4 linked regions of the Saccharomyces cerevisiae S288C genome follow. The protein of the gene in region 4 interacts with the protein of the main gene of each other region in a pairwise test. Each region holds a gene or a part of one and is shown on either strand. Other genes may lie near its edges.

Region 1 (8,298 bases), on a different chromosome or scaffold from region 4:
ATGCAAAAACGGGCCGAGCCCAAACAAAAGAGGAAGCGCGTCAGGCTGTTCGAGAAGGGGCGGGGGAAGGGGATCAGGTTACAAGACGCTGTACAGGGATCTGTGTGAGAACAAACCGACACCAGAACTTTGGACTTTGCAAGCGCCGGAATTGAATCTGTAGCAATGGCAATGGCAATAGTGATGGCACCAGGTGTAACAGCAAGCCGGCGGTAGCAACGTGCGTAATAAGGACTTCTGCCCCTGAAAAAGTATGCCAAAAGTAGGAGAAAGAAAGACCCCTTTAGCTGTGAAAGAAGAAGGTGCTCCCCGCCCATTGTCTGCATGCGCCCCTGAGCTTGGCGACTCTCGAATACCGTGGAAGATGGTGGAGCACCAGAGTAAAAGGCCGTGCGCACTCTGACAAGGCAGTATTGTTACAGGTTAAAACAGCTAGTGTGTATATGTGTAAGTAAGTATTATTTATGTGTTTTACTTAAATTGGTCATTCATTGCATGGTAGTTCTTTACGCGAATTTCTGCCTGAGGAGAAGGGAGAACCTGACCTACAGGAGAAGGGAGCATAGTTACCTGTCAATACCAGCCTAACTCGGAATCGTCCAACAGCTTCCAGCCGATACTAACGAAATTTTCCAGGGCAACGTTCTCAAGCCTGGGTTCCTCTGCGGCTACTGGCGCCGTTGTCGGTTGTGTACCAGAAGTACGGCGTTCATCAAGCAATGTCTTCATGACTGATGACTCGCGGAGGCCTTGGCCCGACTTTGGCCACATGACGTCGTTTCTGGTCGTGGACGAAAGTCCTCCTGTCAGGGACATTATGGGCTTATTAAGCTCGTGCTCGAAGATCTTGAATGGCTTGATCATTGTCAGCACGCTGGTGATTTGAACTACTTCATTCATCGAGTTTGACAGCTTCATGACCAGGTCCTGCGACTTCTTGGTGTCCTGAGTATTCTGCGTTGTAGTTGCCGTCATCATAATGCTAATGAGTGATGTAGGCATCTGCTTGACCAGTTCAGTGATGTTGTAGACCTCGTGCAGGATAGCAATAGCAAAGGGGGAAATTATCCCCCGGCAAAGGTCTGAAAGGATAGTGCCAGTGTCTTGTTTCAGGCCTAGTAATTTCTTGTAAAAATCTGGATTCCCCTCCGATGGAGGTGCAGCGCTAAGGTTCCCAGCGACTGGAGACGAGCCCATAGCAGATGGGCCCTCTTGCACTGTCGGATTATTAGCGGGTGGGTTCGGTGGTCTATAATTAAAATCAATACTGTTCGTAGGATTCAGTCTTAATATCAACGTCAATACTTGCAAAATTATTGATATCAATGAGCACAGAGAGTCTGCTATTTTCGAACTCAAATCCAATGTCAAATCTGAATAGACTCCTGCTTCTGAATCGTATAATGATAATAAGCAATTGATGAAATTGTGTTTGCCAATTAATAGCTTGCAAAATAACTGTGCTACGGATAGAGGTTGAGTTTCCACATATTCCGATAAGAGTGAAGACGAGTTCGTAATATCGAACCCAGGCTTCCTATTGCCGTTCATTGATATTCTATTCCTGGTAAGCTCACTCATCAATTCACCCAATTTCAAGCTTTGCAAGACGCTTTTCAGTCTCAATTGGCTTTGTTCCAGGCACCATTTTGAGCCCAAATCATTAGAAAAAAATCTTTCTGTAGAACCTTGGATGGAAATGTTTAATAGCTTGGGACCACCGAATGCACAGCTTTGTAAAGAATCAAACACTGAAAGCAAAACGTATAATCTTTTAAACAACACTGAATAGTGACTAATGTTTTCGTCCATGGAATTTGGTGAATTGGATGGATTCATATGCCCAGCACTTTCAGATCCAATTTCAAATTCGGACGTTTTTGTATTCCCATTACCAGTGCTGACCTCTTCATCAACTGGAGGCTTCACATCATTTATATCCGGCTCCGGAAATAATAGAAGTTTGTATAATTTAAATTCGTTAAAAATTGTCACCGACATTCCAAGTACAAATGAGTTATCGTATCCAACAAATGCCAAAATGTAATTTAAAAGAATAAAAGTAGATAAATAAATGACTTTGATCTTCGGCGAAATTTGGTCGTTGTTTTCTCTGAATTTGGGATGAATATCCACGATTTTTTGGAAACATTCATTGAGGGCGGCAATAAAAACGCTTTGCACTTCCAAAGTATCCTGTACTTCATTATGTGAATCACGTCTTGTTTTTTCAGCATCATCCCTTGCCGTGGCTGTAGTGAACCCAGCTTTGTTGTTGTCATTACTTGGCGACAAAGCCACGCCAACAATATTATCGAAAAACTTGCCACCTGGCTTTTGTTTCAGAGCAACACGAACTAACAATTCCAATGAATTTCTAAACCACAAAATAACATATGAATTGACTTCGTGTATATTGGAAATTGGCTGTGTGTTAACTAACAATAAGTCACTGGTCAAGGTCGTTTTGTTTAAAGGTATGATCGGAAATCCTACATGTATGAACTCATAGTAGGTGTCTATTAGATCTACATCGGATATCTGTCCATACGCGATAGTTGATGAAGTGGTCATTGGGTGAGCAGAATCTTTCGATGTTATAGATATAGATGAATCTCTCTTTGGTTTTGTCTTCTTAGATACGTAACTTTTTCTGCGTTTTTTTGTACTTCTCTGTGGCGTTGATCCAGGGCTGGATGCTTCCAAAGCCGCTGGTGTAGTTACAGATTCTTGGGAATGTTGAGATGTATCCTTAGAAGAACCGCTATTATTGCTGCCATTATTGTTGTTAATTTCACCATTATTATTCTCATTACCATTCAGCCTGTCCGTGGATAATGTTACTGATACGGGGGCTGATTGTCGCCTTTTATTTCCATCCAACTCAGATGAAAATTGCGGTACCTGCTGTCCTTGAGGTCTTTGTGTTTGCTGTGCAACATTTACGGGGTTTGTAGATGTGCTAGTAAACATGGCAGGTGCACTGGGAGACATAGCCTCGCTGGCGACTGATCCTTGTCTAGAATGAAAACCATTAGCAGCGAACTGGCCAAAAGATGATATCGATGGGTTGTACGGTTGCTGCTGGGAAAATTGAGAATACGAGTATAGGTTCTGTCCTTGTTGCAACTTTTGTTGGTGTGCTTGTGGCTGCGATTGTTGCTGAGGTGGGGGAAGCTGAGGCTGGCCACCTAGTAAAAGAGAATTTGAAGTATTTCGTAGCAAAGAAGGTATGGAACTTGATCTTCTTGTCTGTTCCCCATTATGATCATCAGTAGGAGCTAGTAAACCAGAAGTTCTTATAAAGGACCAATAACCACCACTACCAGAGGCACTGCCTGAGCCGGTGACACTTCCGTTTGCATTTCCAGAATCATTAGTATGTTTATTCGTTATGGGAGACTGTTGAACGGTGTTATAAGACAACTGCTCGTTGGGATTTAATGTTCTTACCGATATATCACTTTGCAAAGAATCGATAGATCCTTTTCTTTGGTGTTGAAACTCATGGTAGGGCACTTTCCAAAACTGCTGTTGGCCAATATTACCCGCGGGCATAGTTGATTGTATCGCTGGATTTTGGAAACTAGGAGGAATGCCACCAGCCTGGGGAATGTACTGTGTCAGTGGGGGCAATAAAACTGAATTAGATCTCGAAGGGGTACTTGGAACTGTGTTACTGTTTATACCGTTGTCGCCGCTATTGCCCGTATTATTATTCAGGGTATTGTTACTATTATCAAACGTATTATACGACCTTGAGTTATTGTGGTCTTGTATTTCGTTAGTCCTTGGATGGCTGGTGCTCCTCGTATAGCCTTTCGAGGGTCCCCTTTTCAAAGGAACCCTATCAAAACTACAACGGTCTCCATTCCTTTGGCAGTTTGAGCAGACCCCCTTTTCATCTTTGTAGTCACATTTAATCTTCTTTTTACGACACTGATCGCAGGCCCGGGAGGCCTTTGTTCTTTTCTTTATTGCGTGACTTGCTGCTGCTGCGGAGTCCATATCGTCGGGACTATTGGATGTACCACCGTTCTTGGTGGAGTCACTGGAGTTAGTCGAAACAGTGTTCAGCTCGTTCATAATTTGAAATATATTGGAGTTTGAGAGAAGAGTACAGCTTCTTGACAAATGTGAGAATCGAAGAAGCGTGTTATTATTGCACCAATGAAAATTGCGGGAACGGTTCTGCACAATATAGTACAAGGGAGAGGCGATTTCCAACGAAGTCTATGGTGAAAGAGCAGAATATGTTGGATGGACAATACTCCAGTCTCAAAACTCCAAGCACGGTTCCTAACTGATGTGTTCTTATTTTGACTTTTTTTATTTTTTGAATTTTTACTAGTTGCTACTATTTTTTTTTCCTGTTTTTCCTTAAAAGGTCCCTTCCCATAATCGTCTTGCTTAGTTAGCTACATGAAAAAAAAGGAAAAAACTAAAGGAAAATGCACAAAGCAGCGACATATTTTATGAATCCAATACCTGCCATTTCAAGAAGCTCGGATTATTGGTGAGGTGACGTAGCTTTTGTTTGATGTACTGTTGATTATTCGTCTCTGGTGCTCATAAGCCACGTCACAGAAAACGATAAACGATGTTAGCGCACATGCTACATGACTTGCCAATCGTGGTAAAGCTTCTGATGAAAGAACCAACTTGCGGAAGCGTGCCCATAAAATGGTCGTGCGGCTTAACGAGCAATCACACCGAATAAAGTGATCCCGTAAAATGATATTCTACTCGGATGATCCGTTCCCTAGGAAGCGTAAGACAAGTAACTACAAATGTTGTCGCATGTATATTCTATTACTCAGAGCGTTTGACAAAAAAATCTTCTCCCTTTCATTAAAAACGAATCGAAGAGCTGGGTTTATAGCATTGTCACTAAGGACGTGGTCTCATCATAAACAAATAGAATATACATGTTATGTTACATAGGAAAGACCGAAAAAGCCAGAGAAAGCTAATAAGGTTAGCACTGATGCAGCGCGCAACCTTACGTTATCTGGCTTCGTTGTTCATCCTTGAACAAAGGGAATTCCTCACTTCTGGTCTTCCTGCGTCTCTTCTCATAAACAAGTACACATGAAAAGTCTATGGACCAATTTTCTCTTCCATTTTATAGTCGATGAACAGAAACTTTTCGCTTGTTTCGGTTTGATATAAATCATCTTATCACCGAAAAAAAAAAAACTCCAGCGAGCGGCTAAATAAATACAAAACGAAAAAGTTAGGTCTAGAGTATAGCATAGCTTTGGTGACTACAGTTATAAACAGGTAAAAGCACGCACAAATAAATGAAAAGAAACGTGCAACGCATTTATTTATTTATTTATTTATATTCATATTTATATTCATATTCATATTCACATCGCATTGAACAGAAGTGCATATGGTTCATAATTTCTTTCTTTTCGCTTGTAAACATTTCGTGACTGCCCTCGAAGAAACTATTTGTCTCATCACCTAATCAAATCTGCTGGAGGTAGCGTTATTTTGTTGGAGAGGGAGACACTGGCCCGTGGCCTTGGCTATGGTTATTTACATTATCGTGTCCTTCTTCATCATCAGTAAAATTCAAATTGAGGTCATCCTCGTCTATGCCACGCTCACCAGTGATGATACTTGCGTCATCTTGATCGTCAAACGATTGCAAATCGCCCAAGTCAAAGTCCGCGACATTTTCTGGGTCTGTGGGTAGTTGTTGGGATGCGGCTAGCATGTATGAAGTATCTGTTGGTCTCCATAAGAACGCGATGGTAACGAAAACAATGAAATACACTAACGTAGGCCAGAAATCAGTAACGAAGAACCTTGACCTCCAGTTCTTCTCAATCATATCAATAGTGTTCATGCCAACGTAAATAAATGACGAAACTATACTACCAGCTAGTACACTCAAAAAGGACGCATAAATGATGTATAGTAGCTTCTTGTACATGTTCAATTTTACGATCTGCCTTTGCTCTTTCAAATAGATAACTGTTTTTGTCATGGATCTAATAATCATGTAGTAAAATATGATTAATGCAAGCGCCATAGGAATCAAGGTGATCAAGATTAGTGGAGATGGTGCCTCCATGTCGGTCAAATAACTTTGGATCAAAAATCCAATGCAAATTGCATAAGTTAACGCACCATACATTTGGCAACGCCTCATCAACGTTTTATTCAACTTAGGGTACACGATACCGTAGCCCAAAGCGATAATCAATAATAGGAAAAATGAAAATGTAACTTTACCAGCCGTCAATATCGACAAGAACACCATATAAACTTTTATTCCCGCAGTATCACCTTTTTCATTTTTCAAATCATAGTAAGCCCATACAAATATGGTTTCTGCGGTTAAAAATACAAAAAAGGCCAGCAAATACTTTTGTAATGGTAACAATTCATGCTTGTGCTTCCAGAAGGCGAAGGAATATAACGCCATCGCCACAACGTATGCGACCGCCAAAAGACCATATAGTGGCAATTTGTTGATCTCGGTGCCCGCAAGCTGACCATAAGCATTCCTGAAATTCACCACAGCGTTGAACTTGGTAGACGTCGATGATCTGAACGCAGTAACACAATAAAATCCGGTTTCTTTTATTGGGTATCTAGTATCATGAAGGCCGACCTCATTTTGAGAAAACGTCATGATTGGATTGGCCAAAGATCTATTTGTGGAAGTATATGGATCATATACAACATCTTGAACAATAAACTCATCACGATTCTCCTCTTCACAAATCCCGATATCAATTGCATAATCATCACAAATATAATACATTTCTTCATCCGGCAATTGCACACCTAAGTGCTCAAAGTCTTGGAAATCATAGATTGCAACGACTAAGCCTGGATCAGACTCATCACTCAATCCACTTATTTTTTTAAGATTGAATGATATAAACGGGTCTATTTTGCCCTTCCAATCTTCTTTGGAATACATACCTGCGCATACTTGATAATTCTTTTGACTTATCTTTTCCTTGTTAGCTTTTACGAACACTAGAAGGTAGCATAAGAAGCAGGTGAATAATTGGAAAGGTCGGCAAAACTGATATACTCTCATTGTGCCCTTACACTCTTAGTTTCTGTAAATTTACTGCCTTTTTACCAGCTGTTTCTTGAAATTACCGAGAAAATATTCTATTTCAATTTTTAACCTGCAAAACCTGAACAGAATAGTTGATCCTCTTGACTATTAGTTTGAGGCTAAGTTTTTTTTTCCACTCTCCCTATTCCTACTCCTATATATATCTTGCTCTATCTTTTTCTTCAAGTTCGTTTTTTCACACACTATTTAAAAGACCAAGCTTATGTGTGACGTGCACGGGTGCAATATCTAAATCGGGCAAAACAACTAAGCAGTAATTAAAGTACCACACTCTAGCCGAAAAGAGGTATACATGAAGGTTGAAGATTCGGAAGCAATTCCCAAATTATGTTCAACATTACGGATATTACAATGTTCAATGCGCATAATACACCATAGAAGAAAATTGGCACTACGTATATACTGTCCATTGTTCTTTTAAACACAAAATTGAAACGTCTGCGGTCTCTTGAGGATAAAACAATGTACATTGAGTATAGTAACATGCTAAGCGTTAGCTTGTATCATCAAGACCGTCAAAGCAGGCATTTCATCAAATCTATAGGACCACTTAGCGGAGTCCTGGTGATTGTAGAAATAGCCTTCTAACGTATCAAGTGATAAATAATTTAAGTTTTCCGAATTTCAGTGATCTACTTACAATATTGCTTATTAATCATTATAAAAAGAAGCGTATTTAGCGGACTAATTAGAATACATAAGGCATTCTCAGCGTAATCTAAGCAAAAAAGCAAGAAATTGACTAACAATGTTCAAATCAGTGGCTAAATTGGGGAAGTCTCCGATTTTTTACTTAAATTCTCAGAGATTAATTCATATTAAGACTTTAACAACTCCAAATGAAAATGCTTTAAAATTTCTCTCCACAGATGGCGAGATGCTACAGACGCGTGGCTCCAAGAGTATAGTTATTAAGAACACTGATGAAAACCTCATCAACCATTCCAAGTTAGCACAGCAAATTTTTTTGCAGTGTCCAGGAGTGGAGTCTTTAATGATAGGTGATGATTTTCTCACTATTAATAAAGACAGAATGGTCCATTGGAATAGTATCAAGCCTGAAATTATAGATTTGTTAACCAAGCAACTTGCTTACGGTGAAGATGTTATATCCAAAGAATTCCATGCTGTCCAAGAAGAAGAAGGAGAAGGTGGCTACAAAATAAATATGCCCAAATTTGAAC
Region 2 (9,043 bases), on a different chromosome or scaffold from region 4:
GGACATGTGGGCGCTGCTAAAGCGGGAATAGACGCATTGGCAAAGAATTTAGCGGTTGAGTTGGGGCCTCTGGGTATACGTTCGAATTGCATTGCTCCAGGTGCTATCGATAATACGGAAGGCTTGAAGAGATTAGCCGGCAAAAAATATAAGGAAAAGGCCTTGGCAAAGATACCATTACAAAGGCTTGGATCTACACGGGATATAGCCGAATCTACTGTTTATATTTTTTCACCCGCCGCATCGTATGTCACCGGTACCGTCTTAGTTGTTGACGGTGGTATGTGGCATTTAGGGACCTATTTTGGACATGAGTTGTATCCAGAAGCCTTAATAAAGAGTATGACATCTAAATTATAATACGTATAGGTATTGAGTACTATTATTATATGACACTTTCTCGTATGCTTTTTGATAGTTAATTGTATATTGATGAATTTTATATACAATGAGTGCACTATCGTTGTTAAACTTCTTACAACCATGACCGTTGTGCTAGCTTTTTATTCTTCTTTCCAACAAGGAAAAACTCAAGTACTTGCATTCATTTGGTCAACGCTTTTTTTAAATGCTAACTGATCACCAGAATAATGGGGGTCATTTTCAAAGTGTTCAATCTCAGAATGTAATCTTTTGACGTTTTTAATGTCAATATCTTCTAAATGATTCGAAGCAAATCCATCTGTTGACATATTTACAGAAATGTCATTCCCCCCTTCAATGCTATTTTCAAAGCTAGAATGATCGGGTTGGTTTTCTTCCCCGGTTTCTAGCATATCCTGGATGAAAGGGATATCAGTAGCTTTTCTCAAGACATCACCATATGTTTGAACTAAGTATTTGTTTAAAATGGTAAAGTTTGTCCTATTGTTGTTCACGTTCGTTTTGACGTCATTACCGTTGCCATCATAAGAACCATTGGTTTTTTCCTTTCTGTTATGGCCATCACTTTGATAAGCTCTACATTCTGTTATAATAATGCGGAAAAAATCTTGAATGCATGAATTTGCAAGATTATTCTTATCTATGTTCTCCTGGAAGAGTTTAAAAACCGGCGCATATAAATTTTTTGAAATCATATATCGATGATAGTATTTATCATCGAGACACATAAGGTTTTTAATGCATCTTACTGCTGTTAACCTTAGCTGCATCATATGATTACCGCCGATAAGTTTGCTAACAGAATCTAGTATACCGTTTTCTAATATGAATCTTCTGGATAAGACACGATCATGCTCAGTGCAAACAAATGATACCAATTTCACTAAATGAATTAACAAAAGATCGTCTTTTGTAACCTTTTCTATTTGCCCATCTATTTCTGCCATTTCCGTTGTGATATCCTTCTTGATTAATGGACCAAACAGTATGGGTGCGATTTTATTATAGAAATTTGCAAAATATTCCATTACTTGAAATTCAGATTCAGATTCTGGCTCTAGATTATTCATTTCATCGCTGCTATAGTGATAGTTATTTAAATTGATTGAATCCGAGTTTAAACCATAACTGAAACTTGGGAAATCTTCAGATGTGTTCTTAGCTTCATAATTTGATCTGCCCATAAGATCATATGAACCTTCTCCATTACCCACACATCCTTCAGGGTGAAGCAAAGTATTTAGCGCTTGCACAACTTGTTCTCGCAATCCGGGACTCCTGTCGGACAGAAGAATGGTTGAAAGTATCAATAACAACTTGGAATCAGTACTGGAGCTGTAATCCTGCGGATATTTCCGATGGGAAGACTTGTCATCGGGCGCTGATTTATGTTGCCGTTTGAAAGAATCTTCATTCTGAACGTTGTGAATTAACAAGATATCGTGTTCGATTATAGTAATGATAGTATCCGTAGCTAAAATCCTAACATTACTATCCGTCTCCATGTGAAATGCATAATCTAAAACTTTGAATAGACCCTTTCGAACAAGTGTTTTATAGAACTTAGAACGGTCAACCGCATCTAAATTGATTGACATTTGAACACACTGTTGCAACAATCTAATCCCGTCTTTTCGTTTTTGTACAAACTTCTCCTTCTCTGAAGAGCTTTCTGGAAGGGTTTTGGTATCATAAAGCTCTATTAGTCTGTCCAAAAACGTCCCTACTTGAAGAAAGTCGATTATACACGTTTCCAGGTCCATGACAATTTCCGAGATTAAGTTGAAATTATGATCGTCTAAAAATCGTACTAATACCACGTCTTTTAAGAACTGTAAGCGAAAACATTTTTTCATTATTATTTTTAAGTCCTCATTTTCCAATGGAATAACCTCTTTGAAATTGGGACCTTTTGATCCTAAATATTTCCTATGATTTGCCTTTGATGTAGGGTATTCAGTATCGTATTCTAAAATCCCAACTATTCCCATAATCCTATCGTCCTCCACCATTGACTCCAATATGTCTCTTTTATTGTAAAGTATCAAAGTTTTGATGATGTTACTTAGCAAAAATAAATCCTTCGGTATCTTTTCTTCTTCTGCTTTGTGGAAATGAGAAATCAGTGTATCAATGTAATTTGACTGGAGGATAAACTCAATGGTTTCGTTTTTCAAAAAATCGAAAGAAGTATTTTCATTCAAAATCTTTAGAGCTTCTAGTAAAGTTTGACTATTCTGTTGCTGGTCGTTGGAGGGCAAGGTCACAGGGCCCGTTATAATGTCGTGAACAGACCCGAGTCCGTTGTCGCTGGATTTTACGGTGACTAAAGAAATATTTGACTCTATGTTCCTTTGGACGTGAACAATGAATTCACATAAGGTGTCACATCCCATACTTTCTTCAAAACTCAAGGCTATATCTTTCCCCCCTAAATCCTTCCAAACAATAAGCGTTTCCTCCTGCCGTTGATATTCAATATTTCCTTCTAGTTTGGATTTTAGTAAAGTTTCAGTTGGGGAGTCTTCATCTGAGACAACAAGATATGCGAACTTACCTTCGTCCACCTCCCCTATACAAAACCCTGTACCTGTGTCTTTCCATTCGTTGTTCTCTAAAATGTAAACCTTTACTCTTTTGGGTTCAGTATTAACCGAAACGGCTTGTTCAGTATCCTCATCCATCGGGGTCGGAGATGTAGTAGGTGTACCCGGTAATGACATTACTCTTACTATACGTAAATCCTAAACTTTTCAGTTAGAATTTCTGTTTCAAACACAGACCAAAAAAAATACTGTTTTCTACCGGTTTAATATGGAATAAATGAGTTTCGATGAATTATAGTACCAGTTCAGTACACTCTTCTTTATTTTTTTTTTTTTCAGTATGCGCGGGTTTTGAAAGCACTAGGTCTTTTAGATTTTACGTCAAAGGAGGCCGAGAAAATATTGTTAACTATGCCACTGATGCAAGCAATCTCTATTGTGCAATTCTAGTTATATCTACCTTGCAATTGCCCTTTAGAAAGTATTGGTCTTCTTTCTTTTGTTTCTTCTTCGGATGAAACACCAAAGGAAAAAAAAAAAAGACAGATAGAAAAAGAAAAGATGGCGCGTCAGAAAAAGAAACGACGGTTTTATCATCTTAAAAGAGAATCATGATGGCTATTTGTTCACAAAATAAGGGATTATATAAAAATTATGTATGGTAGTGGCATTATAGATTTGGGCTATCAGAGTTTCAATATTTGGTCTGTGGATTCATATCCAAATGGCTCAAAGCCGAATTTATTGGCGAAATCTCGAGGAATGAATCTTCCCCCCACGTAATGAGTTGTTTGATTCTCCCTTATGTGAGAGCTGCATGGCTTGGGGACAGTCAGAGATACAAGAACAGCAGGATTAATTGAGGGCTGAGAGATCGGACCTTTGTCAACGTCCCAACCTGTGGGGACGTCCACCGAAACAATCGGGATAATGTTTTGCACTTTGCACAGTTCTTCGACAATGCCCTTGAATGGCTCTCTCATGGGAGGCTTGAAACTAAAACCAAATATTGCATCTACAATGCATAAGGTCTTTTCCGGCTTCAAATATTCCAGCCAGTTTCCCTCATCTTGAGACAGGACAGGAACTTTGAAAAAATTCAATTGGTGAACCAGCTGTTTGTAGAATTCAGTGCGCTCGCTTCTCTTGGGGTAGAAAACAACAGGGTTGTAACCAAAAAGCTTCAAATGTCTTGCGCACACGAGACCATCCCCGCCATTGTTACCTGGCCCAGCAATAACAAATACATGTTTGCCCTTTTCCGTTTCTGTCTTGCCTCTCAGTGGAAACTGGCGACATACAGCCTGCGCGACACTAAACCCAGCTAACTCCATTAGCTGTTGTAGAGTGAATCCGATTTGAGGACCCATCAATTCTTTGTCGATTTCAGCTGCAAGCTTTGATGAAACAACTTTCAACGTAGACATTTTTACCTTACAATGATTTCTCTTTAATACCTGAGATTGGTGTGTTGAAATGAAAATATGTGTTGGCCCAGCAACAGACAATAATATAAGCAAGGATCCTGGTCGTTTGATATTCTTCTTGAGTTTTTTTCTTATATATGAACGTATGTGTATATATTCACCATCCCTATTGTCTCCACCCCTTGTTCGCTCGTAGCGACGGAAACAATCAAATAAGAGGACCCACGGTAAAAGTAGCGTAAATTTTACGGTTCTGCTGCAAAATAAAGAAACCCATTTTGTATCCTTTACATCAGGAATAACGTAAAAAGAATTATCATTAGTTCGTAGTTATATAATAACGTCTGTTCATTATAAAAGAGTACAAGAAACAGTAAGATAGTAAACGTCACTGTTAAATAGTTAATTATACCGCCAATCTACACCAGAAAATTAAAAGAGAAAGCAATATATGTTAAACATTATTATCGTGTCATCTTTGTAAATCCCTTAACATACTTCTAACACAACCCATGTCTTCAATTAACATTTTCCTTAACCACTGCGTCTCTTGGCGCTGTAATTCCAATTCTCTTTCTAATTGCACAATTCTTTGGCCTTTTTCAGAAATGATTGCGTCATAAGCTTCTTTCAATGGGCGTATCACGGCTTCTGTATCTATAGGTCCCATGCTGTTTGAAGGATTTAAATCAACTTTCATTTGGGTGTTATTCGCGTTTAAATTAGTGTCCGGACCATCATTTATTAACGCACCCTCTGCTGCAGTTGTCATCGGCCTCTGCCTCTTACTCGTATTTGTCAGTTGCAAAAGTTCTTCCACCGCTTCGTCATCCAGCGTATTAACATCTAACGATCCCAGTGACCTTCGTTTCCACGAATGGGATCCATTATTGGACATTGTATTATAGCCCATGGTATTACTGGAAGCATTGGGGTTCAGATCTGCATGACTCAAACCAAATTCAAATCCTCCTGAGCCAGGACTGGTTGGCTGTGTATAATATCCTGTCAACGAACGAGAATTGACATCTTGTGATAGCGTTTGCAGTCGTTTTTGTAACTGTTGAGACAATGATGGATCAAAAAGCATATTGGTACCTGGGTTGCTTATTGTTGTATTACTGAATGCACTCGTATCTGTAATGCCGTTTCTCTCTTTATTACTATTTTTATTGTTTTTCCCATTTTTAGCATTTTTAGCCACCCTGGTGCCTCTTTTTTTCGTTCGGTTGTTTGGCATGTTTTTATTTCCATAGTTCTTAATATTACTCCCATTTCCAATATTACCATTGTTCCCATTATTGTTCCCGTTGTTTATTCCCTGTAAATCTGATGGGGAGCCTTTAGTTGATGTATTTAAGGAGTTTCCCTTCCTGCGTCCTTGAGTTAGAATTTGGCCGGTCTGAGGATCGAATACTGTAAATATGCTCATTGAGACTAATCGCCACAATTCATCGTTTTCTAATTCTGAGTCTGTCTTTATTTGCCAAAGCCTTCCATCCAACCGGCGGAAGTATTTTGCGTAAGGACTTGCGTCAAAACTCAGCTCTAGTTCCTTAATCATCTGTTGAAATCTTTGATATAGTTCGATTGCCGATTTTGGTGATGTTGATCTATCGTCAATTGACCCAGATGATAGTGTAGCGTTATATAGTTTTGATATTTTGGCGAAAAGTTGAGAATATTGCGCTTGCGTATATATTCCATTTGAGGTGGCACTAGAGCTCGCATTATTACCAGTAGTGGCAGGATTGCTTGCATTGCTAATGGCTGAGGTAGAACTTGAATTACCATTCGGCGTACCATTAGCGCTATCTGAGTTGGTTTTCGTCAGAGCATTACTACCAGTGCTAGTTATAATCTCATCGATGTTAGGTGTGCTATCAGACCCCATCAACCCTGTTGGATTAGCTATCCCTGTTCCAACCGCCCCGTTAACCATACCTGAGGGCGTGTTCGTTGTCGTCTGTGGCGAGTTTGTAACACTCTGCAAGGAAGCACCACTAATGACAGACTCGTTAGACAGTAAATTATAAGCTCTGATTATGAATACATCTAACTTAGTTTGGTGATGCATTATGTGAGTGTAACTTTTCGTCAAATACTCTTTGTGTTCTCAGGTTCCTTTTTGGTTTCTTGGTTGTTTTCCCATTCAGTCTAGGCGTAAGAATGTGAAGAAAGTCAAATACAGACCGCAAGCACCTTATGGATGCGTTAATGATTATTATGTCTAACGGACAACTATCGCAGAAGTCGCGGTACTTGAAGGAGAAAAGTCGTGAAAATTTTATTTTGGACAAATTGTCCAAGAAAAATAAGAAATATGACGTTATTACCCGTATTGAGATTCCATTGAAAGACATTCATAAAATTGATCAGTTCGGTCATAAACAAAGTAGAACTTCGAAATATCAAATATGTTCTTGCCACTGGTAGCCCATATTTTTTTAATCTGCTCTTGTAGCATAGGGTTGAAAATATTACATTGAAGTCGATACCGATATATACTTCTATAAAAATGAGTTCTGGAATAAAAGTAAGGCTAATACATATATATAGTGGGAGAATATCCAAAGGCAGAGTTTTTTAAACAAGGAAAGAATAAAAGTTGGCAGCATAAAAAAAAGATATTCTCTCTTCAAAACATTTGTCGGATATGACCTCACCTAAGCACTTGGTGCTTTGATGACAATAATCACACTAAAGAGCGATATTCGATAGTGAGACTTTTCCCTCTCAATCTTATTCACATTAGCGCAAGCAAAATGGAATGAATGGCACATTAAAATTGAAAATAAAAGTTCTTGTTGTTGCAGAAGCGGTATAGGAGTTCGCAAAATGGTAGTTAAGAAAAAAGATGGCGGGTTTAATTCATAGTACAATTCAAATGTTAGACAGAAAAAGAAAAAATTTCTGTTATATGCACGTTGTAATGTAATAGTAAAAAGATAATTTAACGTAATTGAAGAGATAAAGTATTATCGATGTTATTCTTATTATTAGTCGGTTTAGAAAATATTATTATAACAAATAATAAAAGAAAAAGAAAAAATGCGACAGAAAATATTATTCTTATTATAGTGGGGGAAAGATGAAAAGCAATGCATATAATGTGATACATGCAAGGAAATCAGGTTTTTGCGGAACCATTTTTTTAGTTTTTTATATGACCAACATTAGAATTGTAACTGGAAAGCATATTTACATTAGGATTTGGGTTACCACTGCCTCCTCTTCTGCTGTTTGGGCCCCTAACACCCAGTGGGTTTTTTGAAAAGCTTAATCTGATACCTCCCTTACTGCTCACAGTGGAGCGAGGTAACTGTCTACCATACAATTCAGCTAACGCTCTGGTTGCAAAACTGACATCATCGAATTCAACGAAGCACATCGGTCCGTGACTATGACCATTAGATGTGGTATTCTTATTCCTGAATGATAGTCTTCTGAAGCCTTCTTGACCAGAAAATAGCTGTCTTAGTTCTTGCTCAGTAGCGTCGGAGGGTAAATTCCCTACATAAAGGGTATTACAAGGTGGATTTTGATCAGCAGGGTTGGCAGGAGGTGGAATTCTGGCTAGTAGTGACAAATCAGCCTGAGAAATCGAGGCAGATCCAGTAATATTTGAGGATAATGAGGTAGTAGAGTTATTCTTGTGTGAATTTCTACTTGAACTTAATCTTGCGGGCGGTACTTTTTGAGGAGTGTTACTTTGATTCACAGGATACATATGCTCTGGTTGGGGTTGTTGCATAAATCTGTTCTGTTTTTGAGGTGTAATGTTCATATCAGAGGTGTTTACCATATTTGAAATGTGCTGCGATTGAGAAGACATTAAACCGTATGGAGGCAATGAATTTGAAGAGGTTAGGGAAGTGTTAATCGTGTTACCAATTTGCATCATTGGTTGTTGCGAGCTGGCAGAGAGTGCCTGGTTAGCACCATTATTGCTGGCTCCATTGTTGGAGCTGGCGTTTGCATTGGCACTGGTGTTGCTATTCGTAGGTGCAATGGCTGTCGATGCTGCAGAGGGTAAAAAGAACGAAGAACCATGTTGGGATGCAGAAGTATTTCCCCATTCTAAAGTTGGCGTAGAAGGTTGGGGAGTGCTCATGTAACCGTTGATGCTGGAAGGTATACCGCTTGTGCCCCATATCTTTTCATTAATTTCAGTGTTATCTCTCAAAAGGAAAGATTTGCCAATATCAGATGTTTGAATTGTTGATTCCACAGACAAATCTTGATGTGAATGGTTAGAATGTAACCCAATAACCTGGCCTTGAGAAGATAACGGTATTGAAGAATTCACTTGTTGTTGATTACATTGTTGTGGTGAATGTTTTTGCGTAGAGTGTTGTTGTGGCTGTTGTGGCTGTTGCTGCTGCTGTTGAGATTGCTGTTGGCTTAAAGGAGAATCATTGGAAAATGGATCGCTGAATGAAAACCTGGATCTTTGTGATAACAGACTTGGCCTTTTCATTCCCGAGTTCGATTTATTCAATCTTGAGGTGTCATTGAAAATGGCAGATGATGGGAATGAAACCAAGTTTTTTGTTGTGTCATCTATTATTTCAACGGTTGTTTTATTGGGAAAACTGGGTCCAAAGAGTTCATTTTTCGAATTCAAAATAACGGCATAATTAATAGCTAGATTCAATAACTCAAATCTGGCAATGATAAAAATAT
Region 3 (8,251 bases), on a different chromosome or scaffold from region 4:
AAATTCCTTAACTTTTATAACTTAACTTCAAAGTTTCTTAATATTTTTTCGCTTTTTCTTTGAAAAGGTTGTAGGAATATAATTCTCCACACATAATAAGTACGCTAATTAAATAAAATGGTTCATTTAGGTCCAAAAAAACCACAAGCCAGAAAGGGTTCCATGGCCGATGTGCCAAAGGAATTGATGCAACAAATTGAGAATTTTGAAAAAATTTTCACTGTTCCAACTGAAACTTTACAAGCCGTTACCAAGCACTTCATTTCCGAATTGGAAAAGGGTTTGTCCAAGAAGGGTGGTAACATTCCAATGATTCCAGGTTGGGTTATGGATTTCCCAACTGGTAAGGAATCCGGTGATTTCTTGGCCATTGATTTGGGTGGTACCAACTTGAGAGTTGTCTTAGTCAAGTTGGGCGGTGACCGTACCTTTGACACCACTCAATCTAAGTACAGATTACCAGATGCTATGAGAACTACTCAAAATCCAGACGAATTGTGGGAATTTATTGCCGACTCTTTGAAAGCTTTTATTGATGAGCAATTCCCACAAGGTATCTCTGAGCCAATTCCATTGGGTTTCACCTTTTCTTTCCCAGCTTCTCAAAACAAAATCAATGAAGGTATCTTGCAAAGATGGACTAAAGGTTTTGATATTCCAAACATTGAAAACCACGATGTTGTTCCAATGTTGCAAAAGCAAATCACTAAGAGGAATATCCCAATTGAAGTTGTTGCTTTGATAAACGACACTACCGGTACTTTGGTTGCTTCTTACTACACTGACCCAGAAACTAAGATGGGTGTTATCTTCGGTACTGGTGTCAATGGTGCTTACTACGATGTTTGTTCCGATATCGAAAAGCTACAAGGAAAACTATCTGATGACATTCCACCATCTGCTCCAATGGCCATCAACTGTGAATACGGTTCCTTCGATAATGAACATGTCGTTTTGCCAAGAACTAAATACGATATCACCATTGATGAAGAATCTCCAAGACCAGGCCAACAAACCTTTGAAAAAATGTCTTCTGGTTACTACTTAGGTGAAATTTTGCGTTTGGCCTTGATGGACATGTACAAACAAGGTTTCATCTTCAAGAACCAAGACTTGTCTAAGTTCGACAAGCCTTTCGTCATGGACACTTCTTACCCAGCCAGAATCGAGGAAGATCCATTCGAGAACCTAGAAGATACCGATGACTTGTTCCAAAATGAGTTCGGTATCAACACTACTGTTCAAGAACGTAAATTGATCAGACGTTTATCTGAATTGATTGGTGCTAGAGCTGCTAGATTGTCCGTTTGTGGTATTGCTGCTATCTGTCAAAAGAGAGGTTACAAGACCGGTCACATCGCTGCAGACGGTTCCGTTTACAACAGATACCCAGGTTTCAAAGAAAAGGCTGCCAATGCTTTGAAGGACATTTACGGCTGGACTCAAACCTCACTAGACGACTACCCAATCAAGATTGTTCCTGCTGAAGATGGTTCCGGTGCTGGTGCCGCTGTTATTGCTGCTTTGGCCCAAAAAAGAATTGCTGAAGGTAAGTCCGTTGGTATCATCGGTGCTTAAACTTAATTTGTAAATTAAGTTTGAACAACAAGAAGGTGCCCTTTTTCTACTTATGTGAACATGTTTTCTATGATCTTTTTTTTTCTTACTTTTACAACTGTGATATTGTATAAACTTTGTTAGAAATTCACGGGATTTATTCGTGACGATAAATATTTATATAGACAAAGAATATGACGATTTATGAAATCTACATGATTTTAGTTTCTTTTAACAATTGCTCGTTTTTTTCTCTTGCTTAATTTTAAATTTTTTTGGTAGTAAAAGATGCTTATATAAGGATTTCGTATTTATTGTTCAAGTATTTAAAGACTAGATGTCTTTATTCTTCATAAAATTGCACGCCAATTTTAACCCTCTCTACACTTCCTCTAGATAGCTTGCGTACTTTCTTTTGTAGCGTGATAATTCTGGAACGAACGGAAGCACTTGTTTTAAGATCGTCCTTACTAATTCTCACAACCACTTCATACCCGCGATTTTTACGCGTGGATTCTTCTTTTACCTTTGTAGTGTTTGCATCATCAATGATTAATTCTTTTAAACTGGTCTCCACCTCACTACGCTTAGAAACATGGAAATCAAATACGTTATCTCTGATATTACCACCTGGATGAACACCGCAAATCACATACATAATCGTACCAATATACTTCGTCCACCATACAATTCTCAATGCTTCAGCTTTATCACCTTCGCGTAGAACTACTTGTTCTAATTCTTGGGAGTATTTTTCTTCAGATTCCGGAATGTTGCCGCCCCATCTACTACATAGAGCAATTCCTATCAGCGCTCTAGCTCTGTGAGATAATCCATGACAGCCGGCTATTATCCCTCTTGTAGCAACATGTAATGCAGCTGTTGGTTGTAACTCCTTTGGATAAGAGGCATGAACAAATGCTAAGTTACATAAAGCAGGAGCAATCCTTTCGTTTACTATTTCTGGTATATCTTCTTGTGGGATTGATGTTCTCAATAGATATAGATATTTTTCAGTAAGTAATGGAGCATAAGGACGGGACGCAATTAGCAATGGATCTTGTGCACGAATTTCTTTTGGAAGAAGAGAATAAAGTGAACCCTCTCGAACACCACCCTCACTAAAATGTACAGCTTTGATCTGGGGAATCGCTTCAAAAACAGCACTCATGAACAAACCAACGGCAGGAAGTTGTAAAGCCCTTCTATCAGAAACCTTAAATATTTTATGCTCTTTTGAAGAACCTGGTATTTTTTGTTTTAGGAATAGATAATCTGACATAGACGAGAATTCTTCATAAGTGCAAGCATATCCGTTAATTATTGTTTGGATGGGATAACCTTCCGACTGGTAAAGAAGCAGATGTCCCATACCTCTTAAACCACCCCCACGGGTCCAAAGGTCAAATCCACCTTCTTTCTTGGCGTCATCAATCATTTCTTGAGGTATACCAATTTTTTCAATCGCATCTTTGTACGCTTCTTTAATCTCATAAAAAAGTGCCCTATTATCATCTGTTCTCATTCTTCTCAAAAGAGTTCCAGCTCCATATGGCAAAGATACAGGTTTGCTGGATTGCTTGACTTCTCCGTGCGAGCTTATTACCCATGATAACTGAGTACTACCACCTGCCACATCTAGATATAGACCTCTTACTGTATTAAATGAGGAAACAACACCATATATGCCGACCCTAGTTTCATCTTCCTGGCCTAATATTTCTACTTTCCAGCCAGTGCTACCGTAAACAGCATTAACAAATTCATCCGCGTTAATAGCATCTCGCGTGGCTTCTGTTGCAATTACTCTGACACTAGTTTCAGGTACACCAAAATCATCGCAAATTAATTTGAATCTCTTCATGGCAGAACAAACCTCTTTTATAATATCTCTGGGAATAGGGCATTTTGCGTTCGTATGTGTATTATATTGAACTTCGTATAGAGAAAGACCAACCCTATCTTTAAAAACACAAGGCATAATTCTTGCATGATGTGCAGCCTTGGAAGATATACTAAAACGAATACCATTAGAACCTATGTCGACGATTCCACACAAGTTTCTCGACACGACCTCAGTCTCGGTATCACTATCGCTAAGTGTTGACATTTGTGGCACGCCTACACTTTTCGTTCAAAACAATCCTTAGTAAAGGACACTTCCAAGAGTGAGTTTCTTTTTTAAAAGGTACATATGAATGAATTACTAATCTCACTTCGATTCTTTCAATTGATCTAGGAACTCCGCCGGCAAAGTTATCCTATCTCGGCATTCTGACCCGGATCGCTTATCGCGGTCATGTGACTAATAATTGAAATGATAAATAGCACGATATGTAACAATAGTAATATATCAATTGACAATGTCATCTTGTTCCCTAATAAATAGTAAAGGTTCCAATTGTTTCACCACTGGCTGCATTTTAAAAACAAAGCATTATAAGTAAACTCTCACACATGCTAACTTCTGTTGGGAAGCAATACAAATAACAGAAAGGATTGGGGTAATGAATATCAGTAATGTCTATTGTTCCCGGCCATGCCGCTCATTCAAACTCTATATCGGAACCCAAGAAATCCAGATCACCATTCGGATCACTTATTGAGCTCGCCGCTGTATTACTAGAATAACTATCGGATGATTCAAGATCAATAGGAATTATTTCAGGGCAGTTTTCGGGGCCTGATTTTAGGACTTGTTCACCCGCTTCCATAGACGACATCTGTTGCGATAGATTATAAATTTTTGAAGGAAGTGTATGAACTGTCGCAATATCTGTATTTTCTTCTTGCCACTGCTTTGGTTTACTATTCAGTCTTTTTTCCAGGTGAGGGGTTGTGTTGATATTTTTTGCAAGCAGTGGCTGGCGTATTTGATCAGGTTTTGATACTGGCTTGATTGAGGAGGGTCCTTTTTCTTTTATATACTTTACTGGAATACCCTCTTTACAACATAAATGTCTGCATTGCGTTTTGTCTTTGCAGCTATGAAAACACTCGTAATTGCCATTAGATCTTACTTGGCGGCCATTACTAAAATGTGAAGAAGAGTGTGCCTCCGGGTGAATAACTGCTGCAGATTCAACCGCCTTTGATGATTTCTTCCTTTCATTCAAATAATCTAGTATACTATCATCTGAGGATAGCGATTCTTCTAATCCATCTTTATGGGAAACCCTAGACGTTTTCCCCACTTCTCCGTCACTACTGCTTTCATAGAAGAGGCATTTTTCTAAACTATTTAGATCTTTCCTTATATTTGGTGTCTTCGCAGAGAACTGTGATGCCAAATGATCAGTGGAATATACGATTGTTTTGCCGAGTCCGGCGATTTCTTGGCAATGAATTGAGAATTCTATTTTTTCTAGTTTTGGTGATATTTTTGCTGAAATTCTAAAGCCCCTTGGTGACTGTAGTTTGTTAACTTGCAATCTTCTAAAGTCGATTAACTCTCCTGAGCTTTTCTCGGTTTCGATATCTAATGAGAGGTGCTGACCATGCCAAATGCTAGACTTGAATGTTGCACTAATCTCAACTTTAAATGTCAACCACAACTCTTCATTTTCTATTTTGCAATTTTCTAGTTTTGTTCTAATATTCAGACAAGGCAACAAAGAAATGTCGTTTTTAATTTTTATGCCGTTTCCAATCTTGAGGTTAAGATAGTATTCAATCTGAGTATCTGACAAATGCCCCATTTCTTCTAGATTGGTAATTCCATGTCGTATTAGCCTTCTTACTGAAACTAGTCCAATTGTTTTCAATTGCCTAAGAACCATTGGCGTGTTTTCCCAGCAGTGACCATTCAGGCTTCGCAGTAAGAACAAAGTATTTTTCAGTGATGTTCCATCACTTTTTTCAATAAATGTGTCTACCATGCATTTTAGTAATCTAAAACAATGTCTAAAAACGAGGAATTTATCCTGAACAAGAGTTTGATGTAGTTTAGAAGCGCCTTCGTATGATGGAAATTCTAACCCACCTAACTCATATTGAATCAAAAGAGAAACCTTTTGACTAACCCTGTCAATTATTTGGCTCTGTTTCTTCTCGGTTAAAAATGGATATTTCAAAAGTGGCGATAAATTGATTTCTTTGAACAATTTTTTTTCATTGTGCCTCACCCTCATAACTGAAAACTCTTCAGAAGTGGCCAGTAAATTTAGTATCCCTTGTAATGATAGAAATTTTTTTGCGTTAATGAATTGTTTCATCGACTCAAAGGATATATAATGTCGCGTCATTGCATTTCCGTACGCTGTAGATTTGTACTCCCCATTGCTGATATCGATTATTTTCACTTTTACTAAGGTGTCAAGCAAATACTGACAGAATTGATTTATCTGAGAGTCTTCAACGGAATGAAAACTAACGTATCTGTTCACCTCTTGATATGCAGCTGGATTCTTCCCAAATCTAACGTAAAAGAATGTGTTTCGTAGCCAATTTACTGCAGTTTCAATTGAATATACAGTTTCCAAAGAGGTTTCTGCTGCTAAATGCTCGATCAAATTCAAATGTAATGAACTTTCCAAAACGTCAGTTCCATGAATTAAGTTTTCATATGTTTGCTTCATTTTAGAGTCTGTCATGATTACTGCGCACCCGTGAGTTTCAAATTGAGGTCTTCCTGCCCGCCCAATCATTTGCAGTACATCTAGGTCTGAATACTCTTGGATTTCAGAAGAGTTCCAACTTTTGGTGCCTTTGATAATGACCAAATATGCGGGAAGGTTCACACCAACAGCTAACGTTGAAGTTGAACACAATATATTAATTGAACCTGCAAGAAATTCTTTCTCAACGGCAGTACGGTCTTCTAAAGAAATTCCAGCATGATGGAAAGCGATACCTTGTTGCATACATTCATTTAATATTTTATCGGAGGGATTATGATTACATCTTTTCTTACTTTTTGAAAAAATATGATTATTTAATAAAAATTTTGCTGTTGATATAGTTGAAGCCCTAGTCGGACAAAATATTAGTACGGGACGATTATCGGCATGCTTTTCAATTATTTCAATCAATTTGGAATTATATATAGCATCTTTTTGGAAGTCATTTTTGCAATTGAAGGAGTACCCATAAACAAACTTCGTTAACTGAACTTGCCTGTACGATTCGTCAAAAGAAAGAATATTTGCAGGAAGCTCGTTGTTAGTTTTGAGCCACAATGCTAGGTCTTCTATATTTGGAACTGTTGCACTTAAAGCAACAAACCGAATGTTTTGACACATTGTATTCATCCTTGTCAGAATTACTTCCAAAGATGCTCCTCTTTTCTCCTTTATGGTATGAATCTCATCAACTAGGACAAGTTTGACCAATTCGAATAATCGGCTGTAATCGGACCATCTTCTTGTTAACAAATCCCATTTTTCTGGTGTCGTAATTATTATGTTACATTTTTTAGCCTTTTCAGTTTCCAGAAAAGAGGTATCACTAGTAAGCATACCAACAGAAAGATTCACAAAGGAAGGAAACCAGTTCTTGTACATCTCGTAACATAGAGATTTGGTTGGCGCGATGTATATAATTTTGGTGTTATTGGTATCACTATTTGTTTCCTTTATAAGACGTAATATTGCCAATTCAAATAATACAGTCTTGCCTGATCCGGTTGGTGAAGAAATTATGCAGTTCTCGTTACTCTCATAAATACTAGGAAAAGCCTCTGATTGCATTTTATTAAATTCTGTAAATTTAAAAACCCCTCTGAATGAATCTGGTAATATGGTCGTGCTCAAACATTTCTTCGCTGATTTCCTTATCGTGACCTTCTTAGGTTTCTTCGCCTCTTCATCAGGTGTCTGCTCTAAATCGTGATCAAATAATTTACTAGTTACTTGTGTATCATCTGCTGTTATTGAAAAATTATCGTCTTTGTCGAAGAATTGCAGACCACGGCCCTCAAATATTTCCTCTGTTTCATTTTCATCATCACAATCATCCAGTAAACTGTTATAAGACAAACCTACTTTAAAACTTGGTTGGCGGCTATTTTTCTTATTTCTTTTAAATGTAGCAGACTGGTCGTTAAAGTCAATATCTATAAGTCCTCTGAAATTCTAGTCCAGAAAAACCACTTTTGGTTGCATTTCCGCTAGATAATAAAAGAAAGAGGTAACAATGTTAGTCAAAATACTGTTGTTGTCCGATATGGTGTAAACTGATAAGGGTGTTGCTAAGCTTCGTTACTACTATTTGGAGAGGGTCTACTTCTTTTTCCTGTACCGAGGCGATCAAACTTTGTTTTCATCCTTACGACGCCTCTTAAGTTGTCAAATCCACCTTGAGGTATCAATCATTTTCAATGAAAGGATTTCTTGATAGATGATACTAATAGTCCCGTTTTGTTTATAATCCGGGGCAAAGTCTAAATACCCGCCGAGCCTGCATCCATTCGTGGTACATGATATGTTAAAACTACAACAAGGCATAAAAAAGGGAAGTATATATGATTAATTATATATACGTAAAGGAAAAGATACGTAGTTAAAGATTGTTTTTGTTGGTATCAATGGAATCAAAGATGAGTGAAGAAGAAGCGCATAAAACAGTGGAGGTGGATGACGTCGGGGTTCAATTGGATGAGGGCGATGAAGAAGACCTTTTGGAGTATGATGATGAACTCGTGGAGGAACAACCATCGGACGCCCGTATACGCAACGTGGCAGAGACTTTAATGAAA
Region 4 (7,431 bases):
TCTCATTATCAATCTTTAAAGAAGCTAGTAAATCGGCCGGATCTCTCTTTGTATCACTCATTCCGATCTAAGGTGGTAAGTATTTTTATAGATGTTCTTGGTTGCTGATCGAGTATTTTATGGTGTATAAAGGTCAACTGGTTTTAAAGGTAATGCAAATTTTGCAATGCTTTGCTTGATTGAAAAATTTGCATACGGGTAATACCGCGTTGATAATAATGTAACAATCAAATAATCAAGACAACAGCAGAGTTATTCTTTAAATACGATATATATGGGAGTATCATCATATTTAAATGTTGATTTTTTTGGGTTTTTTTTTTGGGCAATTTTAGAGCAGTAGGCTTAAAATATATTAAAATTATTAAAGGTATTACTTAATCTTAAAGGTCGTCGAAATCTATAATAGTACGTGTATCAAACACTTTTGTAATTAATATTAATGTCGTTAAGTGGTTAAATAGTGGGGTATTTCGTTTTTGCGTTGTTGTAAAAATTTACTAGGACATTCCATCAGGCTTCCAATCTAACCCCAACCTTTGATAAACCTGTGTTTGGCATTGAAACCAGATGGCAGCCCTCTCCTCTGAAGTTAGAGAAACCTTATTAACGACATTTTTCTGTGTACCAGCACCTAATGTCTTAGCATCATTTTTATAATTTTTTAGTTGCAAATTTTTCATTAAAGCCTTTTTTAAAAGACTACCAGAGTTAGTGCAGTCATGTATTTTAAAACCATGCGGTATGAGGCTTGGAGGCGGCATGTCAGGCCTTTTCAAATTTGAATTTAGTAATTTCCATCTCTTGTATTCGGAGCGCTTTTGTTTAAAGTCATATCTGCATTGGGCCTCGACGGCAACATTTAATAAATAGTTCTCAATTATATTTCTCCATTCAGGCTTTGATAGACGCATAATGGGTTCCTTTGACCCAGTCATTTCTTCATGTCTTTTTCTTGCTGATGCAACTGTATATTTTGCGCTTGTCAACTTAAAATTGCGGTCTAGATTTGCTTCTATGTATAAGTCTGAGTTAACCAATGTCGCTATTATAAACTCATCACTGGAACTTAGGGGAAGTAATTGTAGTCTGAATTGCGGTAAGTTTATACCGGAGGTCACTACCGTCGGTAACTGGGAACCCCATTCTGGCCTTAATTGTTCCACAATTAACAAGGATCGTATATCGTTTAGATCCCAGTCCAGCAATTCGCGCTTTGTAAACTTAGGACGTCCGTTATAAAGTATATTTGCTGGATCAGACATCAGAACTTCGGGAGAATACATATCATAGAATGTTTTGGGTAAAGCGTCTTCAAGTGTTACTTCTGTGACGAACTTAGGTGTTTTTGTATCAATTAACGAGCTGCCTGTGGTGATGTCCGTAAGAGCAGTAGATGGCTGTGAAAATATACTCGATTCGTATGAAGATGAATGGTCTGAAACAAAACTTTGACTGTCCGGGGTATTTATGTGTTGGATATTTGCATTTTCTGCAGTATTACTGTTCACTTCCATAGGTTTAGTTCCTGCAGTAGGCAATAACCTTTTTATGATTTCTATTCTTGCCCTGTCTGCATATTCTGGTGGTGTAGTAACAAAATTGTTGTTGCTCCTAACATTTCCTGAATTGGAACTCAAATTATAGTGATTTGGTGTGTTTATTTCTTGGTTATTATGTGGAAGATTGCTGTTGAATCCAATAGAAGGAACGCTATTTGTCATTTCTGTGTCAGCGTTGGGTTGAACATTCTTTGGATTTTCGTCATGTCTTTTCGATTTTCTTTTCCCTAATACTTGGTTCCTCGCTGTTGCTGGAGGTGGTGAAACAAACATCTCGTTTTATTTGTCTGTTAAGTAGTGCAAAACCTCCTACAATCGCGATGGTAACGAAAATGATAGGTAAATGAGAGCTTCTAATATATTAAACTGGTTTCCTACGGTACGATATTTCTTGAAGCCTTTCTTCTCCTCTATTTAGTTCGAAAACGTCCCTCTCTCGTTAACTCAAAAGAAAATTTACTAAACTATAACTCTGTCTTTTAATAACTCCTGGAATTTTTCCGTTATGGAACTAAGAGCAGCCTTCGCTAAAAGATTTTCCGTGTTTTCAAAAGGAAGGGAAAAAATTGGACAAAAACCCGCGTACGAAAATTTTCCTGCTTAGCTCAGTCGGATTTATTGAAAACTTTATTTCATTTTTCCACAACATCCCACATTACCCGATTGTTTGTTGCAAGATTTTTTGAAGAGGACGCTTGCATATTGGCCAAGGAGGAAGTGTAAGATGTGCTTTCGTGACTTGAGCGAAGGGGTTGGCGTTGTATAGCATGAACTTCCCAATATGTTGCATTCATCCCTGGATGATAACAGACCAAAGACCAAATTTGATTTTAAGTTTAGGAACTTAGAAAAAAAAGGTAGTGCCGTATTCGAAACTTTCGCCGTGGACTGCCTCTCTTTTCAAAAAAGAAGAACAGACCATGCTTTTTCTCCTGGATCTGGAAGAAAAAATACACGAAGCGTATAAATCAAAATAGAGTTCGGTCTATTGGCTTACAAGGATTTCGCTATTTTACAAGAGGACGTATATTCATATATTCATGCTTCAGCATGATTTTCTCTTAACTTAATATGTTCCATTTTTTGTTATAAAATATTACTGTTCGTCGTTTGTAAGAGCAGACACTATTATCTTAAAAGAGCTTTTTTTTAATTGTATGAAGATTTTATAAATTTGCGAAAACCTAAATTTACCATAAAATAAAATGCGCACGAGTAGTTCTAACGCCTATTTGCTCTTGAATTGTCATACCGACTTTGCTTGTTATTCCGAGAGTAGCTGTTGCCGCTGTACTGTCCACTATTTCTATTTCCGGAATAGTTATTGTTCCTGTAATTTGAATTTTGTCTGTAATTATTGTTTCCACCATCATACCTGCTATTGTTGAAGCCGGGTTGACTGTTGTAGCTATTCCTACCATAGTTGTGGGCGGGTTGGACATTATTTCTACTGAGCTCAGCAAAATAAAAGAATGCTCGATAGCCACCAGTTCTTGGTTTGTACTGAGTAATACCCTTTGGTCCTACTGGAACAATATTTTGCTTCAAATCATTACCAAAGTTCCAGCGACGGGAGTAATTTTGGTTATTATACTTGTACATTATGGAATCAAGGTCATATGCTGTTAGTACCGGTTCTGACGGAATGAACCCGTTCAGTATAATAGACTTATTTCTCGATGGCAACGGAATTAATCTATAGGACATCTTTAAAATCAAGGTGGTAGATAAATTTGGCAGTGACCCACCTTGAATCGGACATACAATTTTCCCATTTAATTCGAAACCTTCAACGTCCTTTGATACAATACCACTTAAACCACTCTTGAAGTGTTGAAACTTCACAACAACATTGTTGTTGTTGTTTTCCTTTGAGTATAATTTCTTCGAAAACCTCTCATAATTAGCATTCTTGTTACTTATTAATAAAACAGGTTCTCCGCGAATATTTCTTGCCCTCTCAGCATCAGAAAGTAAAGGATATTGTGCACGAACAGCTGTTAACAGTCTATCCTGATCGATGAATGGTAGCAACGCTATGCCTTGCCAGGACATCTTCTTACCATTCATATCTATGGGAAATTCTTCAGGATAAAAATCAATGATTTCAGAGTCAGGTTCAGACATCAAAGACCGGAAAATTTTTGGCAAAGCATGGCCAGATGCAGCTGGTAAAACACTCATCAATTGTTCGTAAGGTAAAAATGGAGTACCTTCTTCGAACTTTATCTCCAAGTGAGAAAACCCATGGAAATCTGTTGCCAGAGGAGCATAATGGTACGGATAGAACCAATTCCAAGAGGCACAACCTTGATAGTAATACATTAGTACCCAGGCGACCCCTTCGATATAGCATTTTACCATATCTTTTCTTAACTGTTCAATATCTTGAGGAGTAACGTGAAATTTAGCTGTGTAATATCTTTCGTGGTAACCAGGTTCGAATAGTTTGACAAATTCATCTGTATCAAAGACCCCATTTTTGGGACCTTCGCTGACATTCACTGTGCTGTGGACTGGTGAATCTCTTGATACTTCTGTAGTTTCAGAGTTTTCCCTGTCGTTTACGTCAGCCACAATCTCATCTTTGATCTCTGCATCGAGATCGCACTCTGATTCCGCTTTCTCTGTCTTAACTTTTTTGCTATCCTTAGCAATTTCTTCCTCTTCATTATCCTTTTCAAGACGGTGTTTCTTATTTATTATTTTCTGTTTCATAACTTCTGCAAGGTTAAAATTAGTTTTGTTAGCCTTACTAACAGCATCATCAATTTCTTCCTTGCTGATATCTTTCATCAGTTCATTGTTCTTATCACTCTGTTGCTTAACTTTGGCGATTGCTTCTTCGTTCCCCTCGTTCGCAAGCATCAGTTCCTTTTTCAACCTTACCATATCACTGGTGGTCAAGTTCCATGAACCTTTTGCTAAATTTCCTTGTGTGTCATACATTTGCAGTTGCTCCGTAGCTACTGTAGGATGCCTGTCTTGACCTTTTGACATATTTTTCTGCGCTTTCCTTCTTTCAAAAGCTTCTTTCTTTCTGGCTTCTTGAATATGTCTAGTTTTGAAGATATCCCCCTCACGGGAGCCAAGGTGTTGCAATAGCGTTTCAACAGAAGGGAGGTTCAAGACACCGTCGCAGGTCATGTACGTTTTCAATTTCGGTAGTACTACCTTCCAAATATCCAAGAGAATATCAATACTATTTTCTCTGACATCTAAGCATGGTAAATGTGGTAAAAAGTCATTACCACAGAAAAAGCACATGAAAACCCAATCGTCGATAGCCCTTTCTAAATCAAATGTAAATGGAAGACCCGGAACCCATAACTCAGCGGACAAGTATTCCCTCAAAACATTTATGTGCAGCCACAAGAAAGGTTGTTCGGAATTTTGTTTTTGGAGAAATTGTTTTTCTTCTTCAGTCATATTTATAGTATCTTTTAAGTTATTTCTTTTCCGATTGTCTTGAGCAAAAACATCTTCTCTTAGAATTTTAAAATGTGGTTCATGAGTGGCAAGGCCCAAAAAAATTAAATCAGCATCCAAACCGTATATACAGTGCGTTGTGTTGGGATTATATTCAGGATCAGCTCTTTGAGACCTAATGAAATTCATTATTTTGTGCTCACCTTCACCTGGGACGGTGGCGTCACTGATAATCACCTGCAGGTTTTTCCAACCAGGGTCAGTGGCCAGTTTAAATGCTGTCCAATAACGGAGGGCCGCGGCAAGCTTATCCATAAATGGGGTGCCTGGAGTGATCGCATTTGAATCCCAAGTTTTCTTGTTCCTGACGGCATCATCGATTATCTCACCAACTTCTTCTCGCTGTCTCATAATTTCTTCCCTGGCTTCGTTTTCAATCTGAGCATCCCTAGCACTCCTAAATCTACGCGCTCTCTGCTGGTTCATTTTGGCACGAGGAGCAACACCATCAACAGCCATAACAAGTACCTTGCGTGGTCTAGCCATATTTAACACACGATTGGTATATTCAAAAACTGCCAAAAGCATTTCATCTTCAGTCTCTGGAGGCGGTTTGTTTTCTGGGTGCGAACATGGATGAACAATACCATTCATATCCAAATACAAGTTGTCTAACTCACCGTTTGGATTTGAGGCGGAATAATCCAACGGCAATATGACACCGTCGACTATCTGAGGTTGCTCTTCCAATACTGGGGATATGATCTTTGGATATTTTCGAGATAGCCATCTGAAAAATGACGGAACACCCATTATATTACGAAACTTGGCTGTAGCACTTCCTTGAAGAACCTGTCTCACTAATTATTACGGGATGTCTTTATGTTGTAATAGGTTCATCGATGAGGTTTGGTTTTTTATTGCCATAGCTGAAAATCTTATCTAGATACTCTCGTTACCCGACTTATCATTCCCGAGACGCTCAAATATACAACCTGATGAGAAAGTAAGGTAATATACCTCCAAATGTTCAAGATTATAAAATACATTGCAGTGCCTTAAAAACGTACTTCCGATATTATGTGATAGTAAACTTTTCGTAGTTTTTCATCAGAGATGGGGAAAGCTTTTTTGGTGAATTGATTTTACAACTACTTGTTTCAGTATACTATAAAAATCGAGTAAAATTCGTGAATCTTTGAATAGAAAAGATTTCGTGAACATATCTATAAATTAATCACTTTCTTAACCGATATAAGATTTTAGCCCGGTGATATAGGCTTCAATCAGCAGTTACGCTTTTTTGCTTTAATTTTACTGTTTATGGAGGTAAACTAACGCTCCTGCTCTCTTTCATATATCAACAGATAGGTCTGTTGATTGATTCAAATAAATTTATTTTCCTTATGTGCGCCATAATTATATGACCCTATAAGCTGCCGATAGCGGATTTTCTGTTCTCTATGGGAAACTCTGTAGTTTTCTTTTTTTTAGTTTAGTTCGTTCCCAAAAATGGAAGAACGTCAAAACAGTGATCTACATTAAGCTGAGGCGAAAACACTAAACGAGGAAAGTTATACGATGGCACAGGAACAAAATAGAAAGTATGTATGACGTTGAAGGCTGATTAAAGCATTGAAAGGGGAAAAATACTTGTGAACTAAAAAATGTACATATTACGATGTCGAAATATAAGGAAGTAAAAATGCTGTCCGGTTCTTTTGAATAGGAGAAAAAATAAACAGAACATAGTCGGGAACTTCGAGAAAAAAAGTAAGAATTGAAAAATGCATATGAACGATCAGATTGACATTCAAATTCTACGTATCACTAAAGTTTAGCCTTCTTTTTAGAGGAAAACAAGTTAGCTATTTTGGACATGAATTGTTTGAAGGTGCTAATCGGGTATTTCATGCTTGCTTGGAATTCCTCCTTTTCAATATCAAATTGTTTTGAATCCGAAGTATCTAAGATATCTTCAACATCGTCAGTATGTGGTAAAGTTTCAGGATCAACATGGCCCGGTGTGATTGGAATCGAGGTGCTTCTACCTTTAAACGCAAATCCAGGGTGGAAGATGGTCAAAGTGACCGTAGCGATGGCCATCATTAATGCATCTAAGATAATAAAATACCACTCGTGTGTGATCAGATAGCCATCCCAACCGACAACTAATTCAGCCAAACGGTAACAACAACGGGTAAAAATGGTTAGTACCGCAACGGTTATTGCCAGATTAAAATAATGAAAAACCCAACGTTTAGGTTCGAGTCTCAAAAAATGGAACTTTTCCCTGTATAAATAATCAACTTCTGTTTGCGATATCTTTAAGAGGCTCAATGAGATAGGTCTAGAATTTATGTGTTCCCATCTTACCGATATATATATACGGAAAAGGAAGTGAAACCATAACATAAGAAAGATGGCCATCGATGCAACT

What was found.
Region 1: the proteins of STD1 (region 4) and RGT1 interact in a two-hybrid assay, tested with the Saccharomyces cerevisiae proteins (4 studies listed by BioGRID).
Region 2: the proteins of STD1 (region 4) and PSY2 interact in a two-hybrid assay, tested with the Saccharomyces cerevisiae proteins (2 studies listed by BioGRID).
Region 3: the proteins of STD1 (region 4) and RTG2 interact in a two-hybrid assay, tested with the Saccharomyces cerevisiae proteins (one study listed by BioGRID).

What each region holds. Positions count from the first base shown.
Region 1 is NC_001143.9:361,393-369,690, reverse strand, and holds RGT1 (Rgt1p), read right to left. Parts: upstream 4,087-8,298; coding exon 574-4,086; downstream 1-573. Other genes in the region: AIM26 (Aim26p), read right to left, coding at 1-326; PTM1 (Ptm1p), read right to left, coding at 5,498-7,069; NFU1 (Nfu1p), read left to right, coding at 7,863-8,298. UniProt on the Saccharomyces cerevisiae protein: Glucose-responsive transcription factor that regulates expression of several glucose transporter (HXT) genes in response to glucose.
Region 2 is NC_001146.8:260,097-269,139, forward strand, and holds PSY2 (Psy2p), read right to left. Parts: upstream 3,108-9,043; coding exon 531-3,107; downstream 1-530. Other genes in the region: SPS19 (2,4-dienoyl-CoA reductase (NADPH)), read left to right, coding at 1-360; NNR1 (NADHX epimerase), read right to left, coding at 3,617-4,357; GCR2 (Gcr2p), read right to left, coding at 4,830-6,434; mRNA-binding protein WHI3, read right to left, coding at 7,512-9,043.
Region 3 is NC_001139.9:23,818-32,068, forward strand, and holds RTG2 (Rtg2p), read right to left. Parts: upstream 3,668-8,251; coding exon 1,901-3,667; downstream 1-1,900. Other genes in the region: HXK2 (hexokinase 2), read left to right, coding at 118-1,578; HFM1 (DNA helicase), read right to left, coding at 4,104-7,609, 7,762-7,819; RMR1 (Rmr1p), read left to right, coding at 8,093-8,251. UniProt on the Saccharomyces cerevisiae protein: Required for a novel path of interorganelle communication between mitochondria, peroxisomes and the nucleus, thereby maintaining a functional metabolic interaction between the tricarboxylic acid and glyoxylate cycles.
Region 4 is NC_001147.6:415,847-423,277, forward strand, and holds STD1 (Std1p), read right to left. Parts: upstream 1,836-7,431; coding exon 501-1,835; downstream 1-500. Other genes in the region: ATP-dependent RNA helicase DBP5, read right to left, coding at 1-61; ssRNA exonuclease RAT1, read right to left, coding at 2,784-5,804; phospholipid-translocating ATPase RSB1, read right to left, coding at 6,822-7,431.